Linked DNA regions of Rhinolophus ferrumequinum. The protein of the gene in region 3 purifies or fractionates together with the protein of the main gene of each other region. This does not show direct contact. Links are inferred from orthologs where the notes say so. Each region holds a gene or a part of one and is shown on either strand. Other genes may lie near its edges.

Region 1 (10,327 bases), on a different chromosome or scaffold from region 3:
ACTAACTTTTCTTGGAATCCGTAGCGCCTAGCACAGAATGATGACTAATACGTGCTTGTTAAGTGAATATTAGAAGGCCGCCAAGAAGCCATGGGGAGGTGGGGACAGGGGACTTATTTTAAAGTTCATCCAAATATGCAGCGGCCACCCTAGAAAGACAGCTGCATTGAAAGAAGGCTCCTAGACGGGCGAAGCTGCCACTGAGGGGGATGAAGTCAGCGTCCTGGCAGGTAGGGGCAGCCCTCGCTAAACCCTTGACAGCTGCTGCCCAGCAACTGTTTGGGGGCAGGGTGACAGGCAAAGGGGCAGTTTCCCAGCTTCACGGCGCCCACATGAAGGCCCAGCCTCCTGGAGACAGGGTGTCAGCGGCATGCGCTATTTCGAACAGTGCGTCCCCTGCCAAGCCCTGCTGGGTGGCATCGCTGGCAAGGGACCCGGGGCGGCGCATGGGTTCGGGGTACCCCAAAGAGCTCGGAGCGAAGCCGCAGGAAGCTGCGCCGTGGGGTGGGGGTCGGAGACGGCGTGCTCACCCCTGCCTCGTCCCCCAACCTGGCGGCTGCCGCGCCTCGGCCGGACCTGGGAGCAGCGTTTGCACCCCTCTGCTCCCGGGAAACGCGTGTCTCCCGTTACCTAGTAACGATGCCCCCAGTTGCATAGCAACGAGGATCCGGGTCCCCAGTCGGCTTCCCGCTCGCGCGACGTCGGACCCCTCCCCAGTGGTGCTCGCCTGGCCTCGCGGCTCCGCCCCGGCACCGCCTGTGGTGGCTGCCGCCTCCCCAGCCCTGTCTGCCCCAAAGCCCGGGTCTCGGCTCACACTCACCGGGCTCGGGCCACTGCTACCCTTCACGTGCGACTTCGCTAAAACGAGCCACCAAACCCGCGCCTTAACTCCGGGGTGCTGGTTTTCCGTCTGCGCACGCGCAAGGCGGGATGTGCTCCGGTGCCGGCCGCTCCCTCCAGGCCCAAACCCGGTGCCGTGTACGCATGCGCCTTACTCTCGCTTGTTTTTTTCTTTCCGACACGGTGACGAGTGGGATCGGGAGTTCGAGCAGGGGATGGAAGTCTCTGGCGGGAAAGGGGAACTAAGTGACTATATCTGGGCTGTAGAGTGGGTAAACTGGGTCTTTGAATTTGGGGTCGAAGCCTCTCCAGCCTCTGGGCATTTCGGGCAATGTAGTTCTCGAGTCCCGTGATGCCTCGTAGGCATTGTTCTAAGGAAGGGGCGCCCGAGAGCCCCTAGTCTTTTGAGAAACTTTTCGCGCGCTAAAAAGGCACAAAGGGAAAAGGTGTTTGACGTGCAGTTAGAGGCACCCAATGGTGGGGAAATGCACCTGCACCTTCTGAGAGCAATTTCACACCCGGACTCTGGAGATGGCTCCCAAAATGTTCATTTAATTTTATGCAAGGAAAGGAACAAACTCCCAGACCTGAGCTCTACCAAAAAAAAAAAAAAAAAAAAAAAAAGGCGGCATGGCGAGGAGGAGCGACCAAGGATTTGAAAGGAGGTGATCCCTTGCTGGCTTTGTGATTCCAGGCACGTTGCTTCATGTCTCTGAGCCTCATTCGTTTCCGCATTACTATAAAGTACTATAAGGTCCTAAAAATACCATTTCACAGTAGGTGTGGAGATTCACTGAAGTAACAGAATGAAGATTTTAAAAAAAACATCCAAGCTGCTGTCCAAATGTTGTGATCACATTGGCTGCCATTGGAAAGCTCCCCTCCGATGTTAAAGCAGTTCCTGAAACTCAACACTCTAAAATGGAACTCTTTTTCCCTCCTCTACCTGAATCAGCCTTCTAAGTCTGCCTTCTTCCCAGATCACGCACTCAGTAGCAACCAGTCAGTCATCAATCCCAGTTGTTTCTTTTCTTCAGACGTTTCACAGTACATCTCTCATCCATCTTCCTCTGTCTGGATACTCATCACTTCCTGCCTCTGCTAAGGGTCTCTCTGTCTTCCCCAGCCGTCTCTGGTAGCATCCTGGAAATAGTTGGAACTTTACATTTGCTTTTGAGATTGTTTCTGATTTGTAGGACTACCACCAATCTCAGGTCACAGACTTTCCCGTGCAAGAAATGTAGCTTTCCCCCACTATGACTAGCTAATTTCTTTTCAACTCTTTCTATATGAGTGGTGGAAACAATCTCAGACAGTTCAGGGTTCTTCCCACCCTTGATTTTTCAGGTTATACAGACCTTTTGGAAAATTAACATGGGGGTGGTGGCGGGAGGGGGTGGGGTGGGTGGGGGGATTCATCTAATCCTCAGTGTCTGTTGTTTGAGCTGCATTGTCCTGCCCAAGCCTCTGTCATGTCAGATGAATTCGAAAAGAGTCTGGAGACTTTGCTAGAAGTAAATTATAAAAATTAATTCAAGGGCTTTAGAGTTTGCAAATTGGAAACGCAGCTAGGCAAAAAACAAACAAACAAAAACAAACAAACCCAGGTGTGTCCCAAAGAAGAAAGAAAAGTTAAGAGTTCATATAGTTAAACGAACATTTTTGAGAATTATCAGTCCTGCATTCTTAGCCCTAGGATTGGTCCCAGGTGGTTATCAGTCAGGCAGTCTGGATGATGGATGCCAGGTGGTCCAGGAGATGGGCACCAGGAGGTCTGGTCTTGTCAGTAGTCTGGATACGTGAGTCCTTCAAGAGGTAACCAAAATTATCTGGAGGTCTGGTATATGTCTGGATGCATATCCAGGCATTGATGCAGGACTGGAAATTTCAAAAAGTTTAAGTTCCCCTGCTAATTAGAACAAGAATGGAGTCTTTCCTCATGCCTCAACCTTCATGTTAATAATTTTAGCAGCTTGGTTAAAATGCCTCAGTTTTATATATCCCTGATCTTCACTCTTTCCTCTGTCACTTGTCCACACAGTTTGCCACAGAATCTACCTACGAAATGCAGCTTCTTTGGAGTTATTGGCCAATGTGTTCTCTTGCTTTCCAAGCAGCCTTGGCCCTGGGAAGCAGGGCATAGAGTCCCTTTCTTGGGGATCCATCAATAACTACGCATATATACCTTTCTTCCTGTGTCTCCCTTCCTAGCCTAGGGAATTTTTATCTCCTCTGTGGGAAGGTTGAGATTGGGGGAAGTAGGGAGGAATCTGAGATCAAGTTCTTACCTGTAATATTTACTCCAAAATCAGTTGCCCTGAATCCTTTCTATCGCCTGAGGGGCTGGCTTTTGAAACACAAAAGGCTGGAAAGGACTCCCCTTTTCCTCCATCCTTCTGTCACAGCCATAAGCTCCCCAATATAGGGATACCTCTGGGTTTGCTCATAGTGGGAGCCCCAATGCCTAGTTCAGTGCCTGGACTAGCATACAGTGGGTCCTCCATTAAGATCTGTCAAAAAAATGAATTACTGGGTCTCTTGCCTTCCAGTCTGTCCCCTTCCAACCCATCCAGTAATATCTTCCAGAGGAATCTTCTGGAAGTGTGGTTATCATTCCATAGCTCAGTGGCTGTTCTTCTGCCAGCCCAATCAAGTCTAACCACCTCTAGCTCAAGACCCCACCTAAACAGATCCATTTTATTTCCTACCACAGCCAAGAACTTAAGATGCCTGGTCTGTCAGGCAATCTGTCATTCAACCAACAACAGTTATGAAGTTTCTGCTATCTGTCAGGCATTGTGTTACACTCTGAGAAACAACAGTGACCAGAGAGCACAACTATGGTTCCTGCCATCAAGGAGTTTATGGTCTAGCGGAGAACCCAGACATCAAACAGATCCTTGTGAATAATTGATTATAGTTATCCAAAGTGGCTCAGAGGAATATTACAGACTACTGTGGGCACTGAACTTCAGTGAGAGGTCAAGAAAAAGGCTCCAGAGGAAACACCACTTAAGGTGAGGTTGAAGTTTATTTTGGAGGGGATGGGAGAGGAGGAGAAGGGAGGAAGTTGAGGAAAGTGTTCCAGGTGAAAATACTGGAACCAGCCAGAGTAAGTTTGAGGACTTGAAAGACCAGTGTGGCTGGAGAGAAGATGGGGTGAGACTATGGTGGTCGGCATGAGCTAAATGGTGCAGGACTTGGGGGCAAGTTTCCTCTGCCAGAAACACTGTTCCTCATTCGGGTCTCAACAAAAATGTCACCTCCTCAGAGATGCCCTCCCTGAATACCCTGCTTAAAAGTAGCCTATTCCTCCCATCCACAGCAGCTCCTATCTACTTTACTCTGATTTGTTTTATTCTTAGCACTTACCACTCTTTGGAATTTTTTTTTTTTTTATGTGTTGATTGTCTATATGTCTATGGCTCCCCCCTTCCCCGCAATAAAGTGTAAGCTCCAAAGAAACCTTGTCTTTCTTATTCACCATTTGTATCTCCAGTTATCAGCTAGGAGTTACCCAGTCAATATTTGTTGAATGAATGCAAAGCCTGGAGAGTAGTGGGAACAGATTTTTCATTGAAAGTAGATCACTGGCTGTTCCGTGGAAAATGGAGTAGGAGGAGGCCAGGTTGAAAACAAGACCAATTAGGATGCTATTTTATTGATGCAGGGGAGAGATGACAGTAGTTTGGCTTGGCTTTCGGGATAATGATAACAAACATGAATATTTATATTTTACTTACTATGTGCCAGGCTTCGTTCAAAGCACTTTTTAAATATCAACTCCTAGCAATAACCCTATGGGTTGTTAGTTCAACACTTGTTATCACTGCCCTATTTTACAGATGAGGAAATTAAGGCAGAGAAGTTCACACCCATTACTAGCTGGGTGGAGCTGGGATTAGAGCACGCAATCTGACGTCAGAGTCCATGCTCTTGGCCACTAAGCCATAATACCCTTCACACCTGCAACTTTTATTCTTCTCTCCAAGCCTTTGCTTGTGCTGTTCCTCCTTTTAGGATTCTTCCCTTCTATCTGAATATTGCCCGTCTGTTAAAGTCTAGCTCATTCACACCTCTTCAGCAAAGAAGACTTCACCGACCATACCTGGATGTCCTGCTGGTTGGTCTGGATCCCTTATAGTCCGCACCACGTTCTGTACATGATTTCTGGGAGTACCTTATAGATATCCACAAAGAACCCTACACCATCTGAGTTGGAAGGGAGGTGGAAGTCATGTAGGAAAGGGGAGATCGCGGAGCAAATTGGTAATAGGGACAGGCCTAGAACGGTTTCTTGGTCGGTGTTAGTTTCTCAACCCGTCTGCGTTGGCGCTTTCTTCACCGGGTCTCCTAGCAGAGTCTCTAAATTCTCACTGCATTATGGGAAATGTAGTTTCAGATCTCCTCCCGCGGCCCCTCCCTTCTCCCGCACTCGGCGGCGCTTAACGGAAGGAGCCGAGCCGTTCCGGAAATAGTCGAGTGTCCCGTGGCGGGCCCTTTCCTGCCCGGCTGCATTCTGGGAAAGGGCAGTTTCCGTTAGGGGCAGGAGGCTGAGGCGCGCGAGCCGCCGCAGTCCCACGTGAAGGGCTAAGGGAACATCGCTCGACTGGGGCAGCTCCCCGCTCGCCGCGGGGCTTCCCGGAAGCAGCGGGGAACCGGAAGTGGCCCGCGGCAGGTCAGAAGCTAATCCCGGAGCCCGGTGTGTGGCGCCTCGGAGCGCAGCGACGGCGCCATGTCCCTGATCTGCTCCAGTGAGTATTGGCTGCGGCCGATCGCGGGTCACAGGAGGCCGGAGAGCCGAGCGGGAGGATCTGCGGGCTTCTCAGGCGCCGGGGCAGGGGCGGAGGTGAAAACGGGGCTCCTGGGAGACAGGGCAGCGGCCTGTCAGCTCGGAGGTGGTCCTCCTCCTTAGCGTGGGGTGCATTTGCGCAGCGCTTCACAGTTTACGTAACGCCTCAGGTTTATTGTCGCAGGCATTGCTGAGCTTAACCACCTCGTTTACGCAGTGGAAACTGAGGCCTGGACACAGGGAGCTGGTGCAGGGGAACCAGCTCTGGTGTAGGAATCAGGATACCCGAGGGCTTCTGCAGGGTCCGCCTCCGATTGGCTTTGCGATCTGGTGCAGGGCCCTGGGCCTCAGTTTCCCATCTGCAAAATGAGGGCATTGTACTGGGTTTTGTAGGGGGTCCCGCTCGGGTAGGCAGAGCTTCTGCAACTTGTGAAGGGCACAGTGAATTAGAGGTAGTGACAGGGCTGGAAGCCAGGTCTCTAGCTTTCAGCCTCGGAGGCGAACATTTGTAACGCCTTTATTGGTGTACAGCGCACTTCCAAGCCTGTGAGCTCATTTTATCCTCACGCCAATTCTCCAAAGCTGAAATAAAGGTCCGCTTTCTCAGACGAGGATGTTAGGCTCCGGGAGAGTGTGGCTTGTCGAAAGCTGCACAGCTAGTAAGTGGCCGAGCAGGGTGATGGAGCCAGGTTCTCTGACCCGGAATCCATGCCTTTTTTTCATGCTTGTATCATCTTTCCTTTTGGTATTTTATCGTGGCTTGCAGATGTTTTCCATCCTTGTTGTTTCATCATCCCTTTCTCTATTTGCTTCCTAATTCTCAAGCCCTTTACTCTCAGAGCCTCTCCATAAATCAAAAAGAAAAAAAAGGGGGATGGGGGGAGAAGGAAGGGCCCTGACAGCTAGGAAAAGGAACCCTTCACATTGAAGAAATCACAGTTTGTGGAGTGTTTTCACATTCACTGTTTCCTTTCAGTCTTGAGGAAGCTCTTTTCCATCCAGCACCATCCTTCCTCTCATTCACTCATCTGGTAGGTGTTTACCGAGTGCCTGCTGGGGATCTGCATCGTACTGGAAGCCAGAGACAGCTGCAGTCTCCTCCTGGAGGGCTGCACAGACCACTGAGGCAGGCGTGTAAATGATACCTCTGTTGGGGGTGACTGTGAGGATGAGAAATCAATGGAGAGTGTTTACAGTCGTGCATGGCAAACAATGAAATGTATCATATAGCACTTGTCACATTGCTTTATCATTTCATAGTCTGACAGTCTATCTAGGCTCTAGACTGAGATTTGAGTGGCTTAATGTGTGTCTCCAAAGCATCTTTGTTCAGAAATGAGACGGGCAGCGCTGATTGACTGCTCTCCAGGGGCCTGGCACATAGTAGTTGTGCAATAATTATTTGTTGAGTGTAGGAGAAGCTAGATAGGTAGCTGGAAAGCATGCTGGGGACAGTACAAAACTGGCTTGGTGTCATGTCTTAATTCCTGTTAGTTCAGTGTGGGAACCCGGGGTCTTGTTGGGGCCGGCAGCAGGTGAGGCATCCCCTTGGCCCAAGTTCCCTTTCACCCCCTGAGCTCACGGCCTGCCTTTTCTCCACAGTCTCCAATGAAGTGCCAGAGCACCCATGTGTGTCCCCGGTGTCTAATCATGTCTACGAGCGGCGGCTCATTGAGAAGTATATTGCAGAGAATGGCACAGACCCCATCAACAACCAGCCTCTGTCTGAGGAGCAGCTCATCGACATCAAAGGTGCCTAGGGGCTGCCTCAGTCCAGGGTCATCTTAGCTCCGAGCCTGAGACGGGGGAGGTGGTGCCAGCTCATGGGAGGAGGGGCTAGTGCCCTGGCAATGCAGACTAAAGGGAGAAGAGTGGCGGAGAGGAAAAGCAAGGGTCCCCTGGGTTTTGGTTCTTCATACCTGCTTTTCCTCTCTCGGCAGTTGCTCACCCAATCCGGCCCAAGCCTCCTTCAGCCACCAGCATCCCGGCCATTCTGAAGGCCTTACAGGATGAGTGGGTGAGTTTCTGGAAGAGAACTAATATCCTCCCCACTTGAAGAGAGTGATCACTGGACTAGGACTTGGGGGTGGGAAGGATGGAGCATTATTTTCTCTTTTGTGGGGCAGGATGCTCACAGAGTAGGAGACTGGTTGTTGAAGTCACACAGATCTGAGTTCTACACTGAGCTCCGCGTGCCCTTGGACAAATCACTCGTATTCGAGTCCTGGTTTTCCTGACTGTACAACACAGATTAGTGTCTGTCTCTCGGGGTTTTGGGAGAATTAGAATAAAATTAGATTAGAAGTTGCATGACATGAGGGACTTGTTTAATTCATTGGTATATCCCCAGCACCGACAGCAACACCTGGCACACAGTAGGTGCTCTAAAATAGGAATGAATGAATATATCTTGAGGGACTGCCTGGCGCAGTGCCTGACACAGTGAGGGCAGTCAGTAAATAGCAGCAGCGTTTTTATTCCCTTTTGGTGAGGTGATGGCATGACATCTGAGATTTGCCAGTAAATTAGTGGAGCTGGGGGTGGGGAAGAGCTGGCTCCCACTCCTGTCCGTGTGCCCAGTGTTGGGGCAGGGGCTAGGAGCTCAGGAGTCGCTCACTCTCTGGTTCTGGGCCACTCAGATGGTGCTGGGGTCACTGATACTGTTCTAGGCCGTGAGCATTGGCGGCAGTGTCCTCTTCTCGAGGGCTGACGCTTCTGCTGGGTGCACCCCCTCAGAGTGGTATCCCCCCTCCCAGGATGCAGTCATGCTGCACAGCTTCACTCTGCGCCAGCAGCTGCAGACCACCCGCCAAGAGCTGTCCCATGCGCTGTACCAGCACGACGCCGCCTGCCGTGTCATTGCCCGTCTCACCAAGGAAGTCACTGCTGCCCGAGAAGGTGCAGCCTCTCCCCACTCCCCCCACTCGGGGCTGGTCCTGCTTCATCGTATCCCATTTCTAACATTATCTTCTCTCTCAGCTCTGGCTACCCTGAAGCCGCAGGCTGGTCTCATCGTGCCCCAGGCTGTGCCAAGCTCACAGCCAAGTGTGGTGGTGAGTGTCGTCTCCCGGCTCCCCCTCCGCCCCCAGCCCCCGGCTCCTGGGGCTCTCCTCCTGCCAGGGTTTTTGACATTCCATGCCTCTCACCTGCACCTTTCTTCTCTTCAGGGTGCAGGCGAGCCAATGGATTTGGGCGAGCTGGTGGGAATGACCCCCGAGATTATCCAGAAGGTAGGTCGTGCTTTCACTTGGTGGGAATGCTGATGGGCCCTCACTTTTCATCAGCTGCCTCGAGTCCCATGTGAATAAAAATCCCATCCATTTGGGGATAAAGGAGGGTCGTGCAGAGCACAGAGTCGGACCAGACTGCCTGCCTGGGTTTGTATTTTGATGTTACCACTTTTAAGCTTCACGGCCTTGATTTGACTTAATCAACCCCTCTGTATCCGTTTCTCTTGCTTTTAAAATAAGAATAATAGTGCCTACTTCGTAGACTTGTGGGAATTTAACAGACTGTAATTACTGATAAGTGCGACTTGTAGCTCTTCTTGTTATTGGGGTTCTTGGCAGATATTAAGATATTTTGTTACACGTTTTCATGTTTTTTCTCTGAGGAAGACAGGACAGGAATTAGCATTTTTATTTTACAGATGAGGAATCTTTGACTCAGATTCAAAGGCGCAGCTCACAAGAGGCAGAGCTGGCCCGCTCCCAGGTCCAATGCTCTGTTATATTTCTGAAATCCGCCTTCACAGGACTTGATAGTTTGTGTCTTTTCCAAACAGTTCAGATTGTCAACCTGCATCTCAGCTCTCATCTTAGTGGCATAGACCTGGTCTGGGAGCTCTGCCATTTATCATCTCTGTGGCCTTGGGCAAGTGACTTCACTTCTCTGAAGCTCAGTTTCCTCTGAAACAAGGTCATCAGCACCCGCCGCATAAGGTTGGAGTGCGAGTAAAAAGAGATAATGCTTGTGAGCCTTTAGCACAGACCTCGGCAGACAACGAGTTTTGGGGGTCACTTGTGAAGGCGTAGATGTGATCAGCATCCAATATACTGTTCTTGGAAAACTCGTTTGTCTCACGTCGAGTTCATTCCCCTCTCTTCCCAGCTTCAAGACAAGGCCACAGTGCTGACGACGGAGCGTAAGAAGGTGAGTCCTCTCCCAGAGCCAGAAGAGAGAGGTGGCCTGGTGGCCTTGTTGACCCCTGAGGAGAAAGGGGGACGGCTGAATCCTGCGCTCACTGCCGCTTTTCTTGGGGGGCTTTTCTTTTCCTCAGAGAGGGAAGACTGTGCCTGAGGAGCTGGTGAAGCCAGAAGAGCTCAGCAGATACCGGCAGGTGGCCTCTCACGTGGTGAGTGGCCGGCTCCCTGTGAACTTGGAGACATGCTGTTTGCTGGGGTGGCGTGGGCCAGCCTGCAGAGCAGTGGGCAGAGAGCTGAGTTGTCAGGGCTTCTCGTCCTGCCCAGCTTTCCCAGTCAGGCAGTGAGGGACGTGCTGCATCCAGGCAGCAGGCCAAGTGCAATGGATAAGGAACAGAAGTCACTTGTTCCCCGGGGCTGGGGATGACGGTGGGGGAGTGTGTGGCTCTGGCCTGCCTTGATCCGGCCATGACCGGGTTCGGTGTGGCTCTCTCTGCACAGGGTCTGCACAGCGCCAGCATTCCCGGCATCCTCGCCCTGGACCTCTGCCCCT
Region 2 (10,279 bases), on a different chromosome or scaffold from region 3:
AGAGAGGGGCCCCCTGGGAGGTGAGTGTGGGGGCAAGGGGAGGGTGGGGCTAGGAGTTTCTCCCATAGTGATCCTCCTCTGACTCATTTGAAGCGCCTGTCCTGGCATCACCCTGGGGGCAGTGATCTTCTCCGCTGTGGTGGCTTCTATACAGCCAGTGACCCTAACAAGGAGGACGTCAGGTGAGGGAGGTTTGATGAGAAGAATCAAAGCTCGGATGTTCAGGGCAGACTCCTTCCCTTACTTGCTGACTCCCTCCCCTGCAGAGCAGTGGAGTCCCTGCTCCAGGCGGGGCATTCCGACGTCGCCCTGGTGGACACCATGGACGAGCTGCCTAGTCTTGCAGATGTTCGCCTTGCCCACTTGAGGCTGAGGGCCCTCTGCCTGCCTGGTGAGAGTAACCTTTGACCCCTTACCCCACCCCTAGGTCTGCTGACCCTAACCTGGTTTACCATTTTGCCTGCGACAGACAAGTAATCCTTCGGCCCCCTGATCCTTCGCTTTCTCCTCAAATCCCCCATATCCCACAGACTGATTTCCTGTTTTTCCGGACCCCAACATATATTCTTGTTTTGAAACTGCTTTATTGAGATATAATTTACATACCATAAAATTCATACGTCACCTATCTTAGGTGTTCAACTCAATGAATTTTATTATATTTACAATGTTGTACAAATATCACCACAATTGAACTTGGAAACCTCACGGCCATTGTCGTTACTCCTCATTCCTGTCCCCAGCCCTAGGCAACCACGACTCAACTTATTCTTAACCCTTCAGGCTATAGAGCCTGAATCCCGAATCCCACGTTTTCCTGATCTCTGCCCTTCTGACCTCTCTACCCTCTATCAGATTCATCCGTAGCTGAGGATAAGTGGCTCTCAGCCCTGGAAGGGACACGGTGGTTGGACTACATCAGGTACTTCCTCTTTTTCTAGCCATGATTTATGATTCAACCCTCCCCAACCTTCTGTTAACGTGGACGCCTAATGGCCTCTGAAGTCTCCTGGTCTCCCGAGAAGACCGCTGTGATGCTGCCCCTTACAAGGGGCAGGATTTTGGGCTCTGCCTCTATTACTCTCCTCAAAGCTTATCATTCTTCCGTCCTCTTCCTCACCTGCCCCTCCAGGGCTTGTCTTCGGAAGGCCAGTGACATCTCAGTCTTAGTGACATCCAGGGTTCGCTCTGTAGTACTTCAAGGTGAGTTTCTTGGATCACCTCACTCCATTACTTGACTGTGTCCTTCACCCACCTGACTGGATCCTGCTCAGGGAGGGAGACCTATTGTCTCTAATTACAGCTCCGCCTCTCCCTTTGCTAGGAACTACCATGAACTCTAACTCACCCTCCAGTGCTACCTCTGTCTCCCCATTACAGCCCGTGGTCCCTAACCAGGGTTTCCGTCCTCAGTTACCATCCTTCCATCAGTGGAATGGCATGGGGGTTGGTGTGGGAAGGAATGTGGAAGTAGGTTTGAGATTTAGAATCTGCCTCCTACATGTGAGGCTGGTTATTTCTATCCGGTGGCGTCTACAAAGTGAATCATTCAAGGTCTTTGTTTTCTCTTCACTTCTATGTGCCCTCTCAATCCTACCTACCCCAAACTTTCTCCTCTGGCCTCTCACTTCTTGCTTTGTTTCCTTTTCTCATTCTCTTCTGCCCTAGTTTCTCGGCCCCTCCTTTGTCCCTTCTCCCTCTTCATCACCCAGAGCGCGGTGATCGTGATTTCAATGGCCTCCTCTCTTCACTCGTCCAGCTGCTTTCAGCCCCTGAAGCCCGAACACTGCTTGGCTTCCAATCACTAGTGCAGCGAGAGTGGGTGGCAGCTGGACATCCCTTCCTGACCCGACTTGGGGGAACTGGGGCGAGCGAAAAGGTGAGAACATCTTGGGAAGGTTTTGGGTGGGGGCCAGCATTCAGTATTACTAAAGAAGTAAGGGGATCAGAAAAGTATACTCCATTGGAGGTGAATAAGGTCTGAAGGGTCCTGAGGGTAGACTGAGCTTGAAGGGAGACCCAGATGCGTGAGGGACCACATCTATGACATGCTCAATTCAGATTCCATTTTCTGATCTCCTTCGGGGCCCTTGTTCCGTGTCCCCCATCATTTTGTCATCCTCCCCCTTTAGGTCACCACAATCCCATCCTCTTAATTTCCCTCTTCTCAGGCCCCCGTGTTTCTCCTCTTCCTGGACTGTGTCTGGCAGCTCCTCCAGCAGTTTCCAGCTGAGTTTGAATTCTCTGAGTTTTTCCTTCTTGCTCTTCATGACAGTGTCAGGGTTCCTGACACCCTTACATTCTTGAGAGACACTCCCTGGGAACGTGGAAAGCAGAGTGGACAGGTCAGTGACTTCCAGTTTTTACTTGTCTCCCCCACCGCCACACATACACACTGAGAAGTAATTTCTGAAGTTTAGTCTTGATTTATTAAAAGTTAGGTCCATGGGTGGGAAAGGGTGGAGGTTGGTGCTCACTCTCAGCATTTGACTTTCACCCTACGTCTGATTCCTGGAGTAAGAGACGAGAGTCTGAGAACTTCTCTCTAGACCTGGGAGGAGGATTACATGTGTATATGTATGTATGTATGTATGTATGTATGTATATTTTGTTTAACCATCCCTTTTCTTGTTTCCTTTGTCCAGTTCAACTCCTATACACAAGTCTATACCCCAGGGTATTCCCAGCCCCCAGCTGGGGACTCCATTAACCCACAGCTGTCTGTCTGGGACTGGGATTTACGATACAGCCATGAACAGATACTACAATTCCGTAATCCTGGCTATGACCCGGAATACTGCCCAGATTCCTGGCTCCCTAGACAGCAGGTGAGGTGTCTAAACTTCCTCAACTCCCTTGAATTTCTCACAGGCTCATCCTACTTGATGTGGAGAAGTGGAAAGAGACAGTATCTGAGTCCCCCAGGGAAAGCTTCCCCACTCCTCTTCTATAGCTGTCACAGTCCCTGACTGTCCCCAGGAAGACAGAAATCCTAGAATAGCAGAGGGCATCCTTTTTGTTCTCATCTTCTGTCCCTTGCACACGTTTTATAAATTTCCCTAAAATCAATTTTAATCAGTCCTGAGGCCTAGGCTGAAACCTAATGAGAAGGAAAGATAAAAGCTCTCAGCGAGAGGCCAGTGCAGTGTGAGTGGGAGGCAGCTGGACATTCTAGCTCTTGACTGTTTGGGGAAACGGGTCATCTGGTTCCTAGGCTTCCAGTTGATTTCCCTTTTCCTTTTAGCCAAGCTTCATGGTTACTGGACCCCCCAGTTCTGTGTGGCTCTTCTCTAGAGGGGCCTTGACCCCCATGAATCAACTCTGTCCTTGGCGCGACAGTCCCTCCATGTTGGCAGTCTCTTCTCGTTGGCTCCCCCGACCTGCTATCTCCTCTGAAAGTCTGGCTGATCAGGAGTGGGGGCTCCCCTCGTACTGGGGAGCTTGCCCTTTACCCTCGGGGCTGCTGCTACCTGGATATCTGGGACCTCAGATCAGGTTCTGGAGACGCTGCTACCTGAGGGGAAGGCCTGAGGTCCAGGTGAGGAAGGAAGACAGGGCCTGGGAGGTGAAGGGTTTGACTGCTGAACCAGATGTTTCCAGGATCTGGAACAGCAAAGGGCTGGGGGGATTGGGAAGTGAAATACCATTCCCGTTGGTATCCAAGTGGATAGGTTTGGGAGTGTGGGTGGGGGAAGGTGCTTGTGGCTCAGATCAGGTGGAACTTAGGGCACAGTTAGAGGGGGAAAGAGAATTAAGACACCAGAAGTGGCAGACAGATTTTAGAAGCAGAGAGCTGGAGCTTCAATAACGTTCCTCTCTGCTTGTCTGCACCCCTTCCCAGACGGGCCTCTCAGCTCCCACAATCTCTGGCCTCCAGGATGAGCTATCCCATCTTCAGGAGCTATTAAGGAAATGGACACCAAGAATATCTCCTGAGGATCACTCCAAGAAAAGACATCCAAGTACCATTCTCTCCCAAGCCCGTTGAAATTGCTTTCTCATGGGCCGGGAAGAAGGTGGTCTGAGGGTTCAGTCTAATCCTTTGATTGTTTTATATCTGGTCTTGCTGCCTCAGCTTTCACACTCCAACTCTTAAACAAGCTTGCTGACTTGTTTCCATCACAGATGGGTGGTCTATCATGTTTGGTTCCTCAGGATTATATACAGAGGGTGCCAAAAAAAATGTATACACGTTTTAAGAAAGGAAAGAACTATTAAAATTGTAATACTCAATATATACCGATAACAAAAGATGAATACAAGTCGTGTTTGACTTCTGCAATGACAAGAGGTACTCAAAGTGGTTACTATCATGGTCCAGACATTTCTGAGTACAGCAAACTACTGCTTGAGCAACGTTGACCAAAGTGTCCCATTTGTGTATTTTTTTTGGCACCCCCGGTATATCGCGTCTTGTGATTTGAAGAATTTAGAAACAAAAACAATCCAGAATATGATCACCTGTTTTTTCAGGGCAATTCCATCCCTTTTGGATATCCAGCTTTGTGAGAGCAGAGATATGCTGTTCCTTGGTCCCAACAAGTTGGCCTACCGACCTCATTCTCCCCTCTTCTTGCTGCTTCCTGAATTCCAATTTCTATTTCTTCCCTTACAGCTTCCTGTGGGTATGGAGTGGATATGGGAGACACCCTGTCTTTTCCAATTGTATATTTTTGTAGTGACATTTCTATTTAAGGGATTCATTAAAGCGCAGTATTTATACATGTTGCTGGCATTGTTTCGTGTCTGAATAAAGGAGCCTAGGCAAGACGGGGGTGGGTACAGAGAGGCTGGGTATGACTGGAGAGAGATGGCACCCACCGTATTATTAAGGAAATAAGGGGTTGGGTCAGGTGAGGCTCTGCAGAATTCACATGCAATTTGGGGAAAAGGTTCTTCTCCAAGCCTCCCATTTAGTGGCAGACGTGGGGCAAACGCACACCGAGCCGTGGTTGCTGAGGCCGGGTGTGTCCTAGAGGTTGAAGCCTCTGGGTTCAGTGTCAACCACGCCTCAGCTTTGGTCACTTAGAGCCTCAGCTTCCCCTCACCCCCACCCCCCACCCTAACCACGAGGCCACCTCAGGCATCACTCCGGCTCCAACATAAACTGCAATCCCCTCCCTTCGGGGAAAACGAACTACTACTTCAAGCCTAGGCTGGGGCTGCGGGCGGGAGTGGAGCGCTGCCTCCACGCCTAAGGCAGCCGAGTGAGTCCTCAGCACACCCGTCTCCGGGGAACAAGTGACGATCATTTGGCACAAAAATATATGAAACACAAAGTTTTGTTCTTTTAGTTTTCAAGTTGACGTTTCGGGAGCGGTATGATCCTGCAACGTCTTGCACTGCTTTGAAAGAGGTCTGAGCGCTTCCGTTCCGCCGTCCTCGCCCTGAGAACTCAAGCGGAAGACTCGGAGAAAGACCAAGGCGCACAACAGCCCGTCCCCGGGGCCGCATCCAGTCTTAGCGGCTCCTAAGATGGCCGCCACCGCTTCCGGCCCCGCCCCACGCCGCGGCCCCGCCCACAGCCTCACGTCGGCTTTTGCCCCCGGAAGTGGAAGTAGTGACTGAGGTCGGAGGGCGGGATCGCTGCTTGGAGACGGCGGGAGCTCTTCCATCATGGCGGCCGGCCCGATCTCCGAGCGGAACCAGGGTGACTGGACGGGACAGGGGGGCGGTCTGGGGGGTCCCGAGTAGGGCCAGCAGTGTTTCCGCCCGGGCGGGAGACTGCGCCACCCAGGAGGCCGCGGGACTAGCCACTTTGCTTGTTGGGGGCGGGGTGGCCCGGTGCCGGCTACGGCCTGTAGGTGTGCTGCTTTCTAGTATGTCGAATCGCGTGCTTTCCCACTCAAAAAGAAAATCAAAAGGAGAATTTGCAGCAGGACTCAAAATTTGACTTCAGAAGATTCCCTAGTTCTTGGAAAGAGGGAGGTGTAGGGGCTTAATCTAAAACTCTCTCTTTTTTTTTCCCTTTTTGCTCCTGTACCGTCTCCACCAATTCTCCCACCTGGGTTTCATCTTCACGTTCCCGTCATCTCCTTGCACGGCATACGCATCTCTGCCCTAACTTGCTGCTCGCACCATCCAGATGCCACTGTGTACGTGGGCGGCCTGGATGAGAAGGTTAGCGAACCGCTGCTGTGGGAGCTGTTTCTCCAGGCAGGACCAGTAGTCAACACCCACATGCCAAAGGATAGAGTCACTGGTCAGCACCAAGGTGAGTACAGGCCAATAGGTCCGTTTATTTATTGAGGACAGACGGCTCCTGAGGACCCCAGCAGTATTCACAGCTGTCTTGGAATAAGCAACGTAACTAAGCATTTCTTTCTCTTAAGCCGACCTAGCTCTCGTTTGTTTCTGGAGCCATTCTTAATTGAAGTGAGGTTATTATTTTTTGTTCTTTGTGCTTTCAAAGATGGATGAGTTACGCCCTTTTTTAAGCACGTCACTTCGGTTGTGAACCTCCTGTCTTCCACTTTCCCAGGCTACGGCTTCGTGGAATTCTTGAGTGAGGAAGATGCTGACTATGCCATTAAGATCATGAACATGATCAAACTCTATGGGAAGCCAATCCGGGTGAACAAGGCATCAGCCCACAACAAAAACCTGGATGTGGGGGCCAACATTTTCATTGGGAACCTGGACCCAGAGATCGATGAGAAGCTGCTTTATGATACTTTCAGCGCCTTTGGGGTCATCTTACAAACCCCCAAGATAATGCGGGACCCTGACACAGGCAACTCCAAAGGTTATGCCTTTATTAATTTTGCTTCGTTTGATGCTTCGGATGCGGCCATTGAGGCCATGAATGGGCAGTACCTCTGTAACCGCCCCATCACGGTGTCCTATGCCTTCAAGAAGGACTCCAAGGGTGAGCGCCATGGCTCAGCAGCTGAACGACTTCTGGCAGCCCAAAACCCACTCTCCCAGGCCGACCGCCCTCATCAGCTGTTTGCAGATGCACCCCCTCCACCCTCTGCCCCCAACCCTGTGGTATCATCACTGGGGTCTGGGCTTCCTCCACCAGGTAAAGCGTTTGATTCACAATATGTTTGTCTTGGGTTTGGGGGTGGGGCAGAAAGAAGGAAAAGAACGGATAAAGAGGGACATTGAGTCGGTAGGCGATGAGAAGGGGATTGAAGGCTAGTGGTTGTGGTGGGGAGGAAAGTTGCTGAGTTTCTCCAGGAGGCGGAAGTTTTCTGTGTTGGCTGACATTGCCTCTGAGTTTGGAGAGCTGAGAGGAGCTCGTCCTGCCTGGAGAGGCCAGATTGGAACAGGTTCTCGAAAGACATTCACTCTCATTAACTGTTCTTCTGTTTCTTCCATAGGCATGCCTCCTCCTGGCTCCTTCCCACCCCCAGTGCCACCTCCTGGAGCCCTTCCACCTGGGATACCCCCAGCCATGCCCCCACCACCGATGCCTCCTGGGGCTGGAGGACATGGGCCCCCAGCAGCAGGAACTCCAGGGGCTGGACATCCTGGACACGGACACTCACACCCTCACCCATTCCCACCAGGTGGGATACCCCATCCAGGTGAGTACTCTTTGCTGGAAAAGGAAGGGATGAGCTGGGAAGAGGAGCTGTCACCACTTATGCTGCTGTCCTTTGTCTCTCAACAATAATAGTTCTAGAATGTCTTTCAGACATTTTTTTATAAAAACAAGACATTTTTTTATAAAAACAAACACAAGATACTTTACTCTCTTTAAAAACTACCACCTTGTCTCTATTTCTTACTTGTTTTTCCAAAGTTTACAACTATCCTTGTTGTTTTTTGTTTCCTTAACTTTTACTTCCATTCTTTCCTCTGGCTTCCATCTCACGGCAGTTACCTAATTGCTAAATCTAGGGGACACTTCCACTCCTTATCAGGTTTGACCTATGGTCTTACTTGAAACTGGCTATGTGTTCCTGTTTGAAAATCTTATCTCTTTCGCTTTTCTGGATCCACTTCTTATCTGTCTCCTTAATTTTAGGCACCTCAGTAGGCTCCCTTTTCTCTGCGTGTACCTAGGATTTTGTGTTTTGTTCTCCTTTCTGCATAGTTCCATTACTTGTACTTTGATGCCTCCGAGATCTGTATCTCTGTTCCATGGTTGTTCACATTCCAGACTCTTAATCCTGCTGTTGAAATCGACAGCTCCACTTTCCACCCTCCCCTTCAACCCTAGCCTTCCTCTAGTATTCTTTGTTTTCGAGTGCTTAGTTCAGAAATATGGGGCTGTGTTTGACTATTCCCTGTCATCCCACTCTTGATACCAAGTCTTATTAATATTTCTGGCGTCGGCCCTCACTGCCAGTGCCCTAGTTCAGGCCCTCACACCCTCATTAATTCACACTTAATTTTTAATACATTTTATTGGGGAATATTGAGGAACAGTGTGTTTCTCCAGGGCCTATCAGCTCCTAGTCATCCGTCATCCTTCAGTGTATTGTGGAGGGTGCAGCTCACTCCAAGTCCAGTCGCCGTTTTCAATCTTTAGTTGCAGGGGGTGCAGCCCCCCATCCCACGTGGGAATTGCACTGGCAACCTTGTTGTTGAGAGCTCTGCTCTAACCAACTGAGCCATCCGGCCGCCCCGCCGGAAGCTCAGCGGCAGCTCGTTGTCTTCAATCTAGTTGTGGAGGGTGCAGCTCACTGGCCCATGTGGGAATCGAACCGGCAACCCTGTTGTTCAGCGCTCGTGCTCTAACCAACTGAACCATCGGGCTGCCCTCACACCTAATTTATTGTAAGAATTTCCTACCTCATACTTTGACTCCAATTTTCATTACCTTTGATCCACTTCACAGAGTAATTTTTGTCAAACACAGAAATCTACATACACACTCTTGCTCAAATTCTTCTGTGGCAAGAGTAAAACCAGCCTCGTGACCATAGCATTCTAGGCCTTTCCTGGCCCCTGTCCGTTACTCCTGTGACTGCCTGGTGCCCATGATTACTAAGCGGCTGGTTTTCCTGGGACAGACTGCCACTTGACACATCAGTGAGTTGCACATTCTAGTCTTTTCTGCCTAAGATGTTCTAGTCCCACTCTCTACCTGAAAGAGTCTTATCCTTTCGACATAGATCTTTGCTCAGATAGTATCTCTGCTACCTTCCCAAATCCTATTGACAGACCGTTCTGTTTGTTACATACATCTGCGGCTCTTCCGGTGCCTGAATCGTGGGAGAAGCAGGTAAAGAGGGCGAGAAACTGACTGGGTAGTTGGTTGGTTTGTACAGTTGGAATGGGGTCCAGGAGAAGGACATTTTTAGCAGCCTCGTTTTCCCTACTCGTCACTTCTCTCCATTTTGTTTTCTTTTTTTCCCCACGTTTTTGCCCTTGTCTCCTGTCTCTGATGTGTCCGTCTTGTTTTCATAGGGATGTCTCAGATGCAGCTGGCCCACCACGGCCCTCATGGCTTAGCACACCCCCATGCTGGGCCGCCGGGATCTGGGGGGCAGCCACCACCCAGACCGCCCCCTGGAATGCCTCATCCCGGACCTCCTCCAATGGGCATGCCCCCCCGAGGGCCTCCGTTTGGATCTCCCATGGGTGAGTAGGCTCCGGCCACCTCCTTCTGTGAACCCCTCTGTCACACCCCCTTTCCCCTCACTTCTCTCCTTCTCCCTGTCTCCCGGTCTGCCCTCTCCCTGCGTCCTCCCAACGTCAGCTGTCTCCTGTTTCTCTTCCTAACTTCTCTTTCTCTTCCTGCAGGTCACCCCGGTCCTATGCCTCCACACGGCATGCGTGGGCCTCCTCCCCTGATGCCCCCTCATGGATACACTGGCCCTCCACGACCCCCACCCTACGGCTATCAGCGGGGGCCCCTCCCTCCGCCCAGACCCACTCCCCGGCCTCCGGTTCCCCCGCGTGGCCCACTGCGAGGCCCTATCCCGCAGTAAGTCCTCATTCTCTTTCCGCCTGTCCTGGTCTCCCAATGTCTTTTCAATTCCTTGGACCAATCAGAGTTGCTGTAGCTCCGCGGGGCCAAGGCACTGATCCCTCTCAGGCCCGTTTTTTAAGTGTGATTTTTTTCAGAGGAGGTTTTTTTTTTTCTGCGTTGGTCCTAAGTGTTTTGCTAACACACAGAGATAATAAAAACTCAACTTCTTCTTTATCCTTTGTGGTGTTTTCCTTGGCAAAGTAACTTTTCTCTTTTTCTGTGAGAAGAGATGTCTCTCTGTTGGGAGAAGAATGATAAGATGGAAGTGAGGCTTTCTGTGCCCCCTTTTAAAGGCTTACCGTGTAACTGCTCTTGCATTTGCTGGACTGCTGTGGACTTCAGCCACGTTGC
Region 3 (10,781 bases):
AAGACTGTTGTTGGTGAGAATGAGTTCTGTGAGACACGGCAGAGCCTGATCAAGGCCCTCACCTATGCGGCTAAAATAAAAACAGAAAGACGTAGTAAAAGGGACAATGAAGTAAGCTAACAATTTTATCTAGTCCTCGCTCAGAGGATTTCAGACTGCAAAGTCGGAACACCCTTAGAGACCTTTCTTCCAATACCCTGTGACAGAGGGGAAATGAGACACAAAGAAGAAACCCTGTCTGAGATCACAGCGGTGGTGAGAGTGGGATGATTTTAGAACCCACGCCTCTTGAAAGCTGCCTGGGGCTCTTTCCACTGCGCCACTGTCCAAAGAAACTAAGAAATGTGTAGAACAAATGGTGTAGCTCACTTCATGGTTTTCGGGCGGGCAGCACAGAAACACGAGTGATTCTGCACTCACAGCTCAGAGACAAGACACACACCACGGTTTACTGCTGAGAAATATGCCTATATCAGAAACCGCAACCCACCACCCAGAACTCCTTAAAGACATTTCCTATAGACCTTCAATAACTTTTCTCCAATAAAATTTACACAGAGATAAGAGGGTCAAAAAAAAAAATCTCAATTCCAGTAAGTAATATTTTAAAAATGTGTTGTAGTTAAAGAAAAAATGGCAGAGGATCTGAGGGAAAAGAATTACTTTCCACTAGCAGACACTTACCATATTCTATTGTTGTTCACTAACAATGTTTTCAGTCTTCTCAACAAGGGAAAACCATCCAGTTTCCTGATTTCATTGTCAGAAAAATCAATAGCATCAAACTGGTCTAAGGTCGCACCTAAATTTTCAATGACAGGAATCTTATACCCTGTAAAATGGAGGAAAAAACCCCACACAAGTATTAATATAATTAAAAGGCACCTTAAAACACGGGCAGTATCACATGGTCATTCGACTCAAAGCTTCCATTTGTTCAGAACGTGTTTACCTAGCACCTATGCCTCACCAAACACTGCAAGGTACTGGCACACAAAATAGGGAAAAAGTTACAAGTCCCGGCTGCCATGAAGCTTACCGTGTAGCAGTGGTCGTGAAGGTGCTGATGTCAAGGCCGATGACGACGAGGATACTTAGTGACATTAAGTGGTAGCTAACACTTGGAAGGGTATTTGCAAGGTGCCTCATACTGTTCTAAGCAAGGCCCCAGAGCTAGTTAAGTGGCGTAACAGGAATTTACAGTGAGCTGCTTATGGCCAGTGTCCAAACCTTTTTCATACACCGGGGACAACAGTTCTCTTTTGCCTTCCCACAGGTCAGCTTCATACAACCCATCAGGATAGCCTCACGACACCATGACAGTTTCCCCTTACTTCCCCTCCCCCGTCTCCAATCCAGGGTTGAAGGTCAATGACTTATACCCAATGGGAAATCACGCTACGAACAATTCAAGCGAATTCTCACTGACTTGTCTAACATGCGCTTAATTATTGTGCTAGATGCTAGAAGCGAAGAAATGAACCCAGCCAAGGTTAAAGGAAGGCCACCGTTCAGAGCTGCAAGGGCTACATCCAAGTTAAGTGCTGCCCCAATTATCCTCCACACCCCACATGCTTCACACTTGAAGACCACAGAGGTCAACCTGAGCCGGGAAGGTCAAAGTGGTCAGTTACTCTCCAGTTGAATCTTCCTCTGAGAAACTTAAGTGCATCAAAATAAAAGCACTGGGCAGAGCGTGCAGCACGGCAGCTTCCCAGACTCTACAGTCCCCGTGGGAGCAAATCTCAGGCCAAGATTGTACAATCTCATCCCTGCAGAAGCTGCTCTTCGGGTCCTTGTAAGGAAGATGTTGAAGAAAATTTGCCTTCATCGGCGGATGTGACTTTCTTGTTTCTTTTTATCAGGGAAGACGTGAAGAAGTGAAGAAAGTTTGCCTTCATTGTTTGATGTGAGCTTTTGTGTATTAGCTTTTACCTGTTCCAGTATGTTCCTGATTTCTGTGCTGTGATCAGGGTTGAGTCACTTCCCCCTTTGGTCTCATTCTCCCGAGCAGCGGAGACATGAGATGAGGTTGCTTTTCTGTCGTGCTGTGAGGTGATGGTTAGCTTAGAGTTAAAAGAATTCTTGATCAGGGGTTGAGAGAATTCCCTTTGTTCTGTTTCGCCTGTATCAGCAGAAGTGAAGAAGTAGCTAAGTTATATCAGGACGACGTGACAGGCACGTTGCCAGGTCTTGTTGCTTATCCAGATGAACTGGCCCTTCGGCCAGATGGGCAGCATTCGTATCAGTAACTGCCGGACCCTCCCGGAACCGGCCATTCCCGGAGGGGGCGGCAGGAACAAGAAACTTGGCTCTAAGGCACATCTGAGAAAATATTTAAGACAGACCTCAGCTGGCAGTGTAATCGTAATTAAAATTTCATCATTTGTCATTGGTGACTCTTCATCATTCTGACATTTTGAAGACTTCCAGCAACACAGCTTACAGCACCAGGGGCTGTCCTGACTTCCAGCCGTGGACCTGGTGAGGGCTGCCTGGTTCCCGGCCTCTCCGGTGTTGTTCCCCACCGTTCGCCTTCTTGAGAACTGTTAACATTTTAGAAGCTTGTATGCAGCTTGCAGCTTACAACATCAGAAGACGCCCTAACTTCCAGCAACAGCCACCACAACAGCAACAGCATTCCGGAGAACTTGTGAACAGTTTAGAAACGTGTATACAGCTTGCAGCTTGTAATGTCAAGGGACGCCCTAAGTTCCAGCAACGAAAAAACGGCAGCAAAATTCTTGGGAACTAGCAAGCGGCGGGGCGGGAGACGCCTGAGTTTCTCTCAGCTGCAGACCCGATGAAGTTTTGACTTATGACTTTTCCTACGGTTTGGTGAGCTTTTGGCATCTACTATCACAGTTACTATCCTAGAGGGCTTATTACTGCTTTTGGATTCTCCTTACTGACGTTATTTGTGCATTTAGCCAAGTGATTTTTGATCAATAGTAAACATGTGCTGGGATCTCTTAAACTTTTAAGTACGTGTACTCCTTTGACGTGACCTTGTTATCAATGTATATAGTTTAGTCTTAACCACCTTTACTTCTGTCACTAGCACGTTCTATTACTTGCCTTTTGCTATTGCCTATTACTAAATACATTGATTAGGTATTACTAAATCAGGTCATCGGGCCCACTCGAGCGTGTGTCCTCTCCCTTCTTTCCCCCGCTCGTCAGGACTGTCCTTCCTGGAATCATCTTCTGACACGCTGATTAAACAGCTGTACTCAGTGTCCTGCCCGGCCTCCCTAAGGTTGCAATAGCTCCGGGAACCCGATTAGTTCCGAGAGCTTGCACCACTTACACACGACACCCGGTCGAGCAAGCCTCGGGGAAACAGTTCACTCCATAAAACCTGCCGGTAAAAGGGAAATCGCAGACAACTGGAGCTCGTAAGGCGGAAACGTTTGGGCAGCAATCGCTTTTGTTCCCGGACTTCGTTTCCTCCCTCACCGACTGGAGACAATTCACACGCGTCCTACCGACACTCGCACGATGACCAGTACGGACTGAGAACCAAGCACTCAGTGCATTTCCCCGGCCCTCAAACACAGCGGACGGAGGAGGAGCCCGAGGAGGCCTCACGGAGGCCCGCGGACACGGACCAGGAAGCCACCGCGTCGGCCCTGGAGCGAGGACGGAACAGAAGCCTAGGCAGAGCCCAAGGGACGGTCATTCGGTGACGCCGGCAGGACTCAGGCCGCGGCGGTCCCGGCGCAGCCGCCCCCTTGGGGCCCGAGCTGCAGGCACGCGCGGCCCCAGCTCCAGCGCTCGGCACACGCGGCGCGGCCCGGAGGCGCGGCCCGGCGACGGCCCGCCCTCTCCGCGGACTCACCCCGAAGGTCAAGCTCGCGGTCCCGCACGGCGTTGGTGTACTGCGCCGCCTGCTCGATCAGCTCCGCCGTCAGCTTCACCATACTGCCGCCTCCCGCTCCCGGTGCGCGGCCCGCGGCTGCCTCCCGCCACACACAGGTCCCGGCCTGCCCCGCGCCCGCCGCCAGGCAGCACCAGTCGCACCGCCGCGTGCGCGCGCAGCTCGACGTCCAGGCCGAAGCAATCGAAGAGCCGCGTCCCCGATCTCCTTCTCCTTTGAGGCCCTGGAGCGCGCTGAGGACGCGTCTAGTCCTGCTTGCTTTCCTAGGGCGTCTCTGGAGTCTGGAGGACCCCTGATTCCAGACATTTGTGTCCGCAAGTTAAGCAACATGTGACGATACCCGAGTGGAACTTTTTCAGGCATCAGTGCACCTGGAGGTGAAGGTGGCGGGCACCCGTGGGATTCATGCAGGGTCCAGGACTTTGGATTCCCGTCTGGGTCCTGGGCTCTGGCCCCCGGGCTACAACCTGAACCCCGGGGCTGGATCACCTGCTCCCGGCCAGGCCGCTGGGACCGCCCGACCTCCCAGCACCTGGCACCTGGGCACGGTCGACTTTGTGGTTAGGCCTCCAGACAATTAAATGTTTATTTTAATGCATGATAATACATAAAGGTGGGCACATCAGAAGTGTGCAACGTGACGAATGATCGCAGAGTGAGCACGCCAGCGAAAACTGTCGGCCCTGGTGCAGACACGGAACACTACTTTGAAAGCGTCCCGTCTGAGAATGATAGTTTTATGTCTTCCTTTCCATTTTGTGTACTAGTTCTTTATTTTTTGCCCTGTGGCATTGTCTGGCATCTTAAGTACAAGGTTGGACAGTGGTGGTAGGGGACATCCTTTTAGCAGGCATCACTTCATAGCCAAGGGGGGAAAAACTTAATCATTGATCAAAGTCACTATCACCAATCATGAAACCAATCAAAATCCTGTATCACCTACTAGGATGCAACGAGAAGAACACATTACTTCTGGGAGATTACGGTTAAAGACATCTGACCAGAATTGAAATATGAGGAAACCTCAGACAAAGACACGGAGGGTCAGCATATAAATAACTGGCCTGTAGTCCTTAAAAGGTTCAAGGTCATGAAAGTCAGGGAAAGACTGAAGAAATGTTCTAGGTTGAAGAAGACTTGAGAGACAGGAGGATTACATGCAAAATGTGATCTAAACTGGATCCTTTTGCTAAGGGCATTCCTGGGACAAGTGGCAAAACTGGAATGCAGTCAGAGGACTAGACGGTAGGTAGTAATATATCCATGTGAATTTCCTGATTTTCTGATGATTATATAAGAGAAGGTCCTTGTTTATAGGAAATAGCCTCTAAAATATTTGGGGGTGGATGGGTAATAGGGTATCATATCGGTAATTTACTTTCAAATTGTTCAGGAAAACATTTCTTTGTACTGTACTTGCAACTTTTCTGTAATTTTGCATTGAGATTGTTTCAAAATAAAAAACGCTACAATCCCAACTTCACTTAATCCCACAGAGGACCACCAGGGGGAGTCCTTAGACCAAAGAGTTGGTTTTGGCCCTTGGCTTGCTGGATTGAAAAGAGTTTCTTTCTTTACTTTAAAATAGGAAATTTGTATGGGTTTTTGTTGCTTCGGCATATGGACAGGGAGATAAACTAGAGGCAGTTATATTAACCTTAGGTTATCTCTATGAAGTTGAGAACAGATTTTCTGTTTTGATTTCATTTCTTTTGGCTAGAGAGTCTCAACCTCAGCACAGGTGACATTTTTAGGCTGGATTATTCTTTGTTGTGGGGCTGTCCTGGGCATTCCATCATGTTTAGAAGCATCCCAGGCCTCAGCCCACTAAATGTCAGTATTTTTCTCCAGTTGTGACCCCCAAATACCTCCAGACATTGCCAGATGTCCCCAGGGACACAAAAATCACCCCCGGTTGAGAACCACTGTTTTTGGCAACGAGATGTTTTCTGCTCTGGGCACTTGGACTCCTATTTGCTCAACAAGGAGCCTAGTAGGTATCGATCACCCTTAGTGTAGCTGGTACATATTGGGGTGGGGGGCAGCTTCGGGTGATGGGAACTGAACCCCAGGGCATGAGATGGGTGCTCAGCATTGCATCACCTCGGGGTGCTGTTCTGTGCACAGACAAGCCACAGAGCCTGAGGTGTCAGGAAGGATAAGGCCTGGGTTCAAGGAAGAAAAGCAGCAGGGAAGTCCGGAGCGGGATGCAGTCTCCTCCTTTCCCATGGCAGCCAGCACCCAGTCGCTTCCAACTGGCTGGGCAGAACCTTAAGATGCTGCAGAATGGCTGGTATACTACTTTTTGTTCTTATTAAAATGCCGTTCTTTTGTACTTCTCCATCTCCTTGCCTTTCCGTCGTCTGACGCAAACCTCCACCCTTCACCTGCTCCCAGGGGCCCCAGCATACCCCAAGCATTCAGGTTAAGTTCCCTGTGGCCATATTATCAGTGATTTAAATGCAGTGAGTGACCGTCCCCCCATATTCAAGAGCACTGCACTGTTGGCCTCACTTTGACCATGGTGCCCTTTGGTTTTTCTCAACCTCTGTCCAGCCCGCTTCCCATTACAGCTGTGTCTTCTGTAAAAGGTGCAATTCTCCCCAGCTCTTTACATAATTACCAGGTATAAAGTCCGCCGTGGCCTGGGAGGGATGGGGATATGCACCCGGGGACCACTTTGAGGTGCCAAAGAATTTGGCGGACAGGGTAAGGAAAATGTCACCCCCTGGAAATAAAGCTAGTTTAAAACAAATGCATCATGCCTGCCTTTGGTCAGCTGCACAAGTGATGCCCCCTCTTGCGGAGAGAGCCAGCCTCCCTCCCTGGGCACATGGATGGGAGCAACCTTGCCAGTGTGTGGCCCAAGGCAAGTCACTTTACGTCTGTGAGCCTCCGTCTGTGAAATGACAGATTTACAGGGGAAGAGCCATGATTCTGTCACATAAAATAAAATCCATGAACATGTCCTGCGCCAACTGAGTCTAGATGAAGTTAAGGTTGGGCCATTTGCAAAAAAAGGCATTTTATGTCGTCGGTCCTTTTAAACAAGGTGGCATTTGGTCCTAAGAACTTTGTGAACAGGTTCCCAGCTGCCCACGGCACTCGTCAGCCCCAGGACAGGCTGGGCCAGCCACTGCGATGAGGGTATGTGTGTTCCAAGGCTGTCTGGTTGGCTGCCTGTAGTGGGAATGCTTTGGGAATAAAAGTTTATGTCTGATTCAGTTCTAAACATGTTAGACCATAAGCGCTCAGTGGGCAAAGAGCTCTAGGGGCTCCAACGGCTCCCCTCCCCCACCAGAGATACTTAGCTGCTGGTTTTAACCTCAGGTGAGTCTCCTGGGGGAGGTTGAATCCGTATCAGTCATCAGCCCAGCCCTGGCTGCTGTCTCGCAAATACACCCACTCATTTCCCCACTGGCCCCTCACACGGACAGGTCTGGTCAATTCACGCTCGTGCTGGGTAGTGTTGGGTTGTGGGCCTTACCCCCATTTTCTGACAGCATCATGCTACACCCCTCCCGCTAGGTGGTCACAGGAAGAACTGCCTGGAGCTTCGTTCTGTTGCACAAACCTGTCCCTGTGGCCACAGCTGATGGGACCGGTGAACGCCGATGAAGGCAGACCAACCAGGGCCAAGAAGCAGACTCAGAAAGCTCACCTGGGAGATGGTGGTGGCCTTGTCATTTGTCCCATTCACTGCTCCAAAGCAAAGGGGTCCAGGTGACATTTAATGCTGGTCTTAGGGTTCCCAAGGCCCAGCAGCACCCTTCCCTGAAATTCTGAGTCAACCCTGGGATCCTAAAACAATGCCCCTCACCCACTTTTGTATTTTCCTAAGTCAATTCTAGTTGGTGAATTTCCTTTATTTGCAGCCGAAGGGTTCCTAGCAAAACAAGCTTCTGATCTTGCAGAGAGGACACGGTCAAAATCGCATGCAGCATGGAACCCATGGTGCAAGTGTTTCAGTTTCTGTGCGGAAAGAAGCTGTAACCTAATTAAATCAGGCTTGGCAGCCATAGGTGAAGGGGCTTGCAGTCTGGGACAGAAAGGAAGCATCCCTATAACCAGCCTCTCCACCCAAGCGGGCGTCTGTGGCCTGAAGAGGGGCTGTTTGCCAAAGGACACCCTGGGGCTGGAACTCTGGGATTTCTCCCATGACTTGGTCCCATCAACATTCTCTGAAGCTAAAGACCTTCCACGTAATGACATCAAACCGTTCTGGAAACCACAAATACCACCATTTCCCCCACTGGTCAGCACCTGTGTTTAACTGTCGTGCCTTAGAAAGAAATACAGGCTCCTTTGCTGTGGGATGTTAACTCTTTTATTAATTTAAGGTTAACACTGTATCTGCTCTGTGGATTTCTTTTTTTCCGGAGTTGTGGATTCACCAAACACCCGCTGGATTTTGTCCCCCAGCCCCCCAGGGATAAGTCAGATGCATTACAGTCAAAGAGCGGGGCAGGGCAAGATGGAGAAGGACTGAGCTGGAAAAAATTTAAGGCAAATGTTACCCCTTATTGCAGGGACTCGATCAAGCAGATCTGTGCATTTCAATGAAAATATATGAACTCTTTGTCAGAATAACATTGGTACAAATCAGAACATTTAGCTTATAAAAGGCCTACACAGGTTTGGCAGAAAGAGGTCCAACCGTGTCGTTGGGCTCAACCGTCCCGCGTTGCAGAGGCCAGGTGTGTTTTAAAAGCAATTCCGCGAAACGGGAAGTGACAGATGATTAACAATTCACGGGCTGGGGTGACACGTGTTAACAGGAACTGCTTGGTTGTTGGGGTCTTTTTTGGCTGGCCCCCGGGGACACCTTCAGAAGGCTGTGCAGCGGGTAGAGGGGGTCACTCGGGCCACAGGACTCCTACAGACACAGACAGAAGGCAGTAACAGGGAGCACTCGGCTCACGCAGAGGACAGTCCTCCAGAGAAGGAAAGGCTCTCCCCATCCGGGGCTGGAATCTGACTTTCGAAGCCTGCGATTTCAGAAGTCGCTGGCTGTGTAGGAATAGAGGCTCCGTCCCCAGTGGTCGCACGTTTTATGTCCCCAGGTCTACCTTATCTATAGTCTGACCAAACCATGCCCCCCACCAGCCTGCTCTGCGGCAGGCAATGAGCAGGTGTGCCGTGTGGCCCTTCGTCACGCGTGGGGACAGCCAGGTTCTGTGGGCTGGACCCAGTGGCTGAGACTGACTACGGAGCTGCGGGAAGCTGGGAGAAGAGCGATGTGTGAGGCCAAGCGTCTTGACTGTCTGCTTTGGTCTGGAAGCTTCAGTAAACTTGTGGTCCCAGAGGCTGCTCAGAAGCTGGAGCTGTGGATTCCCAGAATGCACTGGGTTCCCGGGTGGAATTTGCCAGAAGAGTGCAGCCAGCCAGTGCGTCTGGGAGGAGCTGCTCCTGAAGGCCCACCGCCTGATCTGGGTGCCCCGAGATGCTGCCGAAGGGCCTGGCTCCTGGGGGGTAAAGCTGTCAGGCAGGGTACCACCCCGAAACGGGCTCTGGCCCACGGTCTGGAGACAGGTGGACAGACGGCCGGACGGCCCGCAGGGGCCGGAGCCCCTACCCGGCCAGGAGGCACGTACGGCAGCAGAACTGGATGAAGAGCTTCCGTTCACACAGCCTGTTGGACTTGACCATCTCGCAGAACGTTTCGTCAGCTGGGGCCCCACCAGGAGAGAGAGCAGGGATATGTCAGACTTTGAGGCGTGTTTCATGGTTCTAACCATCCCACTGTACTGGGCCGGGGGAGGGGACACGGAGTGGGGGTGGCAGCCAGGGCAGCCCTCACAGTCACCCTGCTGACATACAGGGACTCCTGCTGAGCCTGGGAGATAAAGGGGGTTCAGGAAGTCTGGGCGTGCAAAGCGCAGGTCAGGAGGACATCGGGGCAGTGCCAGCGGGGTCTCGGTGCTCATGTGCACCTCCTTGCAGACAGCTGTGCAGGGGGTGGGCCTAGGACAGGACTCTGGGGGGGGCAGGGGCAGGAAGAGAGGCTGTTGCTGTGGTCTGGGGGGAGGGAAGGAACGGGAGAGAGACAGTCAGCAAGGCAGATGGAAAGCTGACGGGGAGGGCAAGAGCCATGGAGGTCAGCCCCACCGCTTGGCCGCTGGCTTTTGAGAATGTGTAGCCCTTCATGGGACCCACAGACCGTCCTGTGACCACCTCACTTTCCTGGGCTGGACACATAACCTAAGCAGGTGACTTCCTAAAAAGGGAGAAGGGGCACTGTTCTGCAAACCAGAAAAATAACCAAACACCGAGGCAAGGAGGCCATCTCGTGGTCTGCAGGGCGTGCCCAGGGCTTTCTCTGCAGGCCCGAGGCTCGGCCAGGCCAGGCCCAGGGCCAGCTCTGTGCCCAGGACAGTGCGGCTCTGGTAGCTCCCTCTCCTGCACGCCAGGTCGCGGTGCCAGAGTCGGCTGTGCGGCTTCTCCTGTGGCTTCTGCGCCTTGGAAGTCCCCTTCCCTGCCATGGCTCCTGGACCAGCTCTCCAGGCCAAGTGCTCTGCCAACCCTTCCTCTTGCCTGGAATCCCCAGACTGGTCTTTGGTCTCCTCTGACTCCCTTTTTTTACCCAGAGACCCAGGCTCTCAAATGGCACTGACGTGGGTCCTCCTTGTGGGACATGTGGGCTGAGACCCTTCAGGCCTCCTACTTTGACCTCCAAGGTCGGGCCTCGCCTAATGGAAGTCACCACACACAGGCGCCTGGGGCTCATGGCATGAGAGTGGGAACGGTACAAGAACAAAATAATTTTTAAGAGTCACTCAACAAACAGACCAGTGGTAGCTGGGCTGCTGGCCGGGATGCCTCTTGTGGTCAACGTCAGAGGCCTAAAGGAAAGGGAGGAGGAGTAGGGCAGTCCCAAGATGGTCAACCAAAGTGGGGCAAG

What was found. Proteins that work in one complex are often made in the same cells at the same time.
Region 1: the proteins of SNRPA1 (region 3) and PRPF19 fractionate together in Homo sapiens (co-fractionation; 3 studies listed by BioGRID). This does not show direct contact. The link is inferred for Rhinolophus ferrumequinum from reciprocal best matches to the Homo sapiens genes SNRPA1 and PRPF19.
Region 2: the proteins of SNRPA1 (region 3) and SF3B4 purify together in Homo sapiens (affinity purification with mass spectrometry; 3 studies listed by BioGRID and IntAct, counting the BioPlex papers as one, with this or other methods). This does not show direct contact. The link is inferred for Rhinolophus ferrumequinum from reciprocal best matches to the Homo sapiens genes SNRPA1 and SF3B4.

The regions. Positions count from the first base shown.
Region 1 is NC_046294.1:9,870,252-9,880,578, forward strand, and holds the start of PRPF19 (pre-mRNA-processing factor 19), read left to right. Parts: upstream 1-5,350; 5' UTR 5,351-5,575; coding exon 5,576-5,594; intron 5,595-7,234; coding exon 7,235-7,384; intron 7,385-7,572; coding exon 7,573-7,649; intron 7,650-8,388; coding exon 8,389-8,530; intron 8,531-8,611; coding exon 8,612-8,685; intron 8,686-8,799; coding exon 8,800-8,862; intron 8,863-9,742; coding exon 9,743-9,784; intron 9,785-9,911; coding exon 9,912-9,986; intron 9,987-10,275; coding exon 10,276-10,327. UniProt on the Homo sapiens protein: Ubiquitin-protein ligase which is a core component of several complexes mainly involved pre-mRNA splicing and DNA repair. Required for pre-mRNA splicing as component of the spliceosome.
Region 2 is NC_046305.1:50,390,867-50,401,145, reverse strand, and holds SF3B4 (splicing factor 3B subunit 4), read left to right. Parts: upstream 1-5,302; 5' UTR 5,303-5,616; coding exon 5,617-5,650; intron 5,651-6,085; coding exon 6,086-6,214; intron 6,215-6,481; coding exon 6,482-7,024; intron 7,025-7,325; coding exon 7,326-7,532; intron 7,533-9,363; coding exon 9,364-9,537; intron 9,538-9,699; coding exon 9,700-9,887; 3' UTR 9,888-10,102; downstream 10,103-10,279. Other genes in the region: MTMR11 (myotubularin-related protein 11), read left to right, coding at 94-182, 267-391, 856-922, 1,133-1,203, 1,713-1,879, 2,172-2,345, 2,646-2,828, 3,245-3,538 and 1 more. UniProt on the Homo sapiens protein: Component of the 17S U2 SnRNP complex of the spliceosome, a large ribonucleoprotein complex that removes introns from transcribed pre-mRNAs.
Region 3 is NC_046311.1:12,857,071-12,867,851, forward strand, and holds the start of SNRPA1 (U2 small nuclear ribonucleoprotein A'), read right to left. Parts: upstream 4,021-10,781; 5' UTR 3,924-4,020; coding exon 3,842-3,923; intron 833-3,841; coding exon 685-832; intron 71-684; coding exon 1-70. Other genes in the region: PCSK6 (proprotein convertase subtilisin/kexin type 6), read right to left, coding at 9,452-9,549. UniProt on the Homo sapiens protein: Involved in pre-mRNA splicing as component of the spliceosome. Associated with sn-RNP U2, where it contributes to the binding of stem loop IV of U2 snRNA.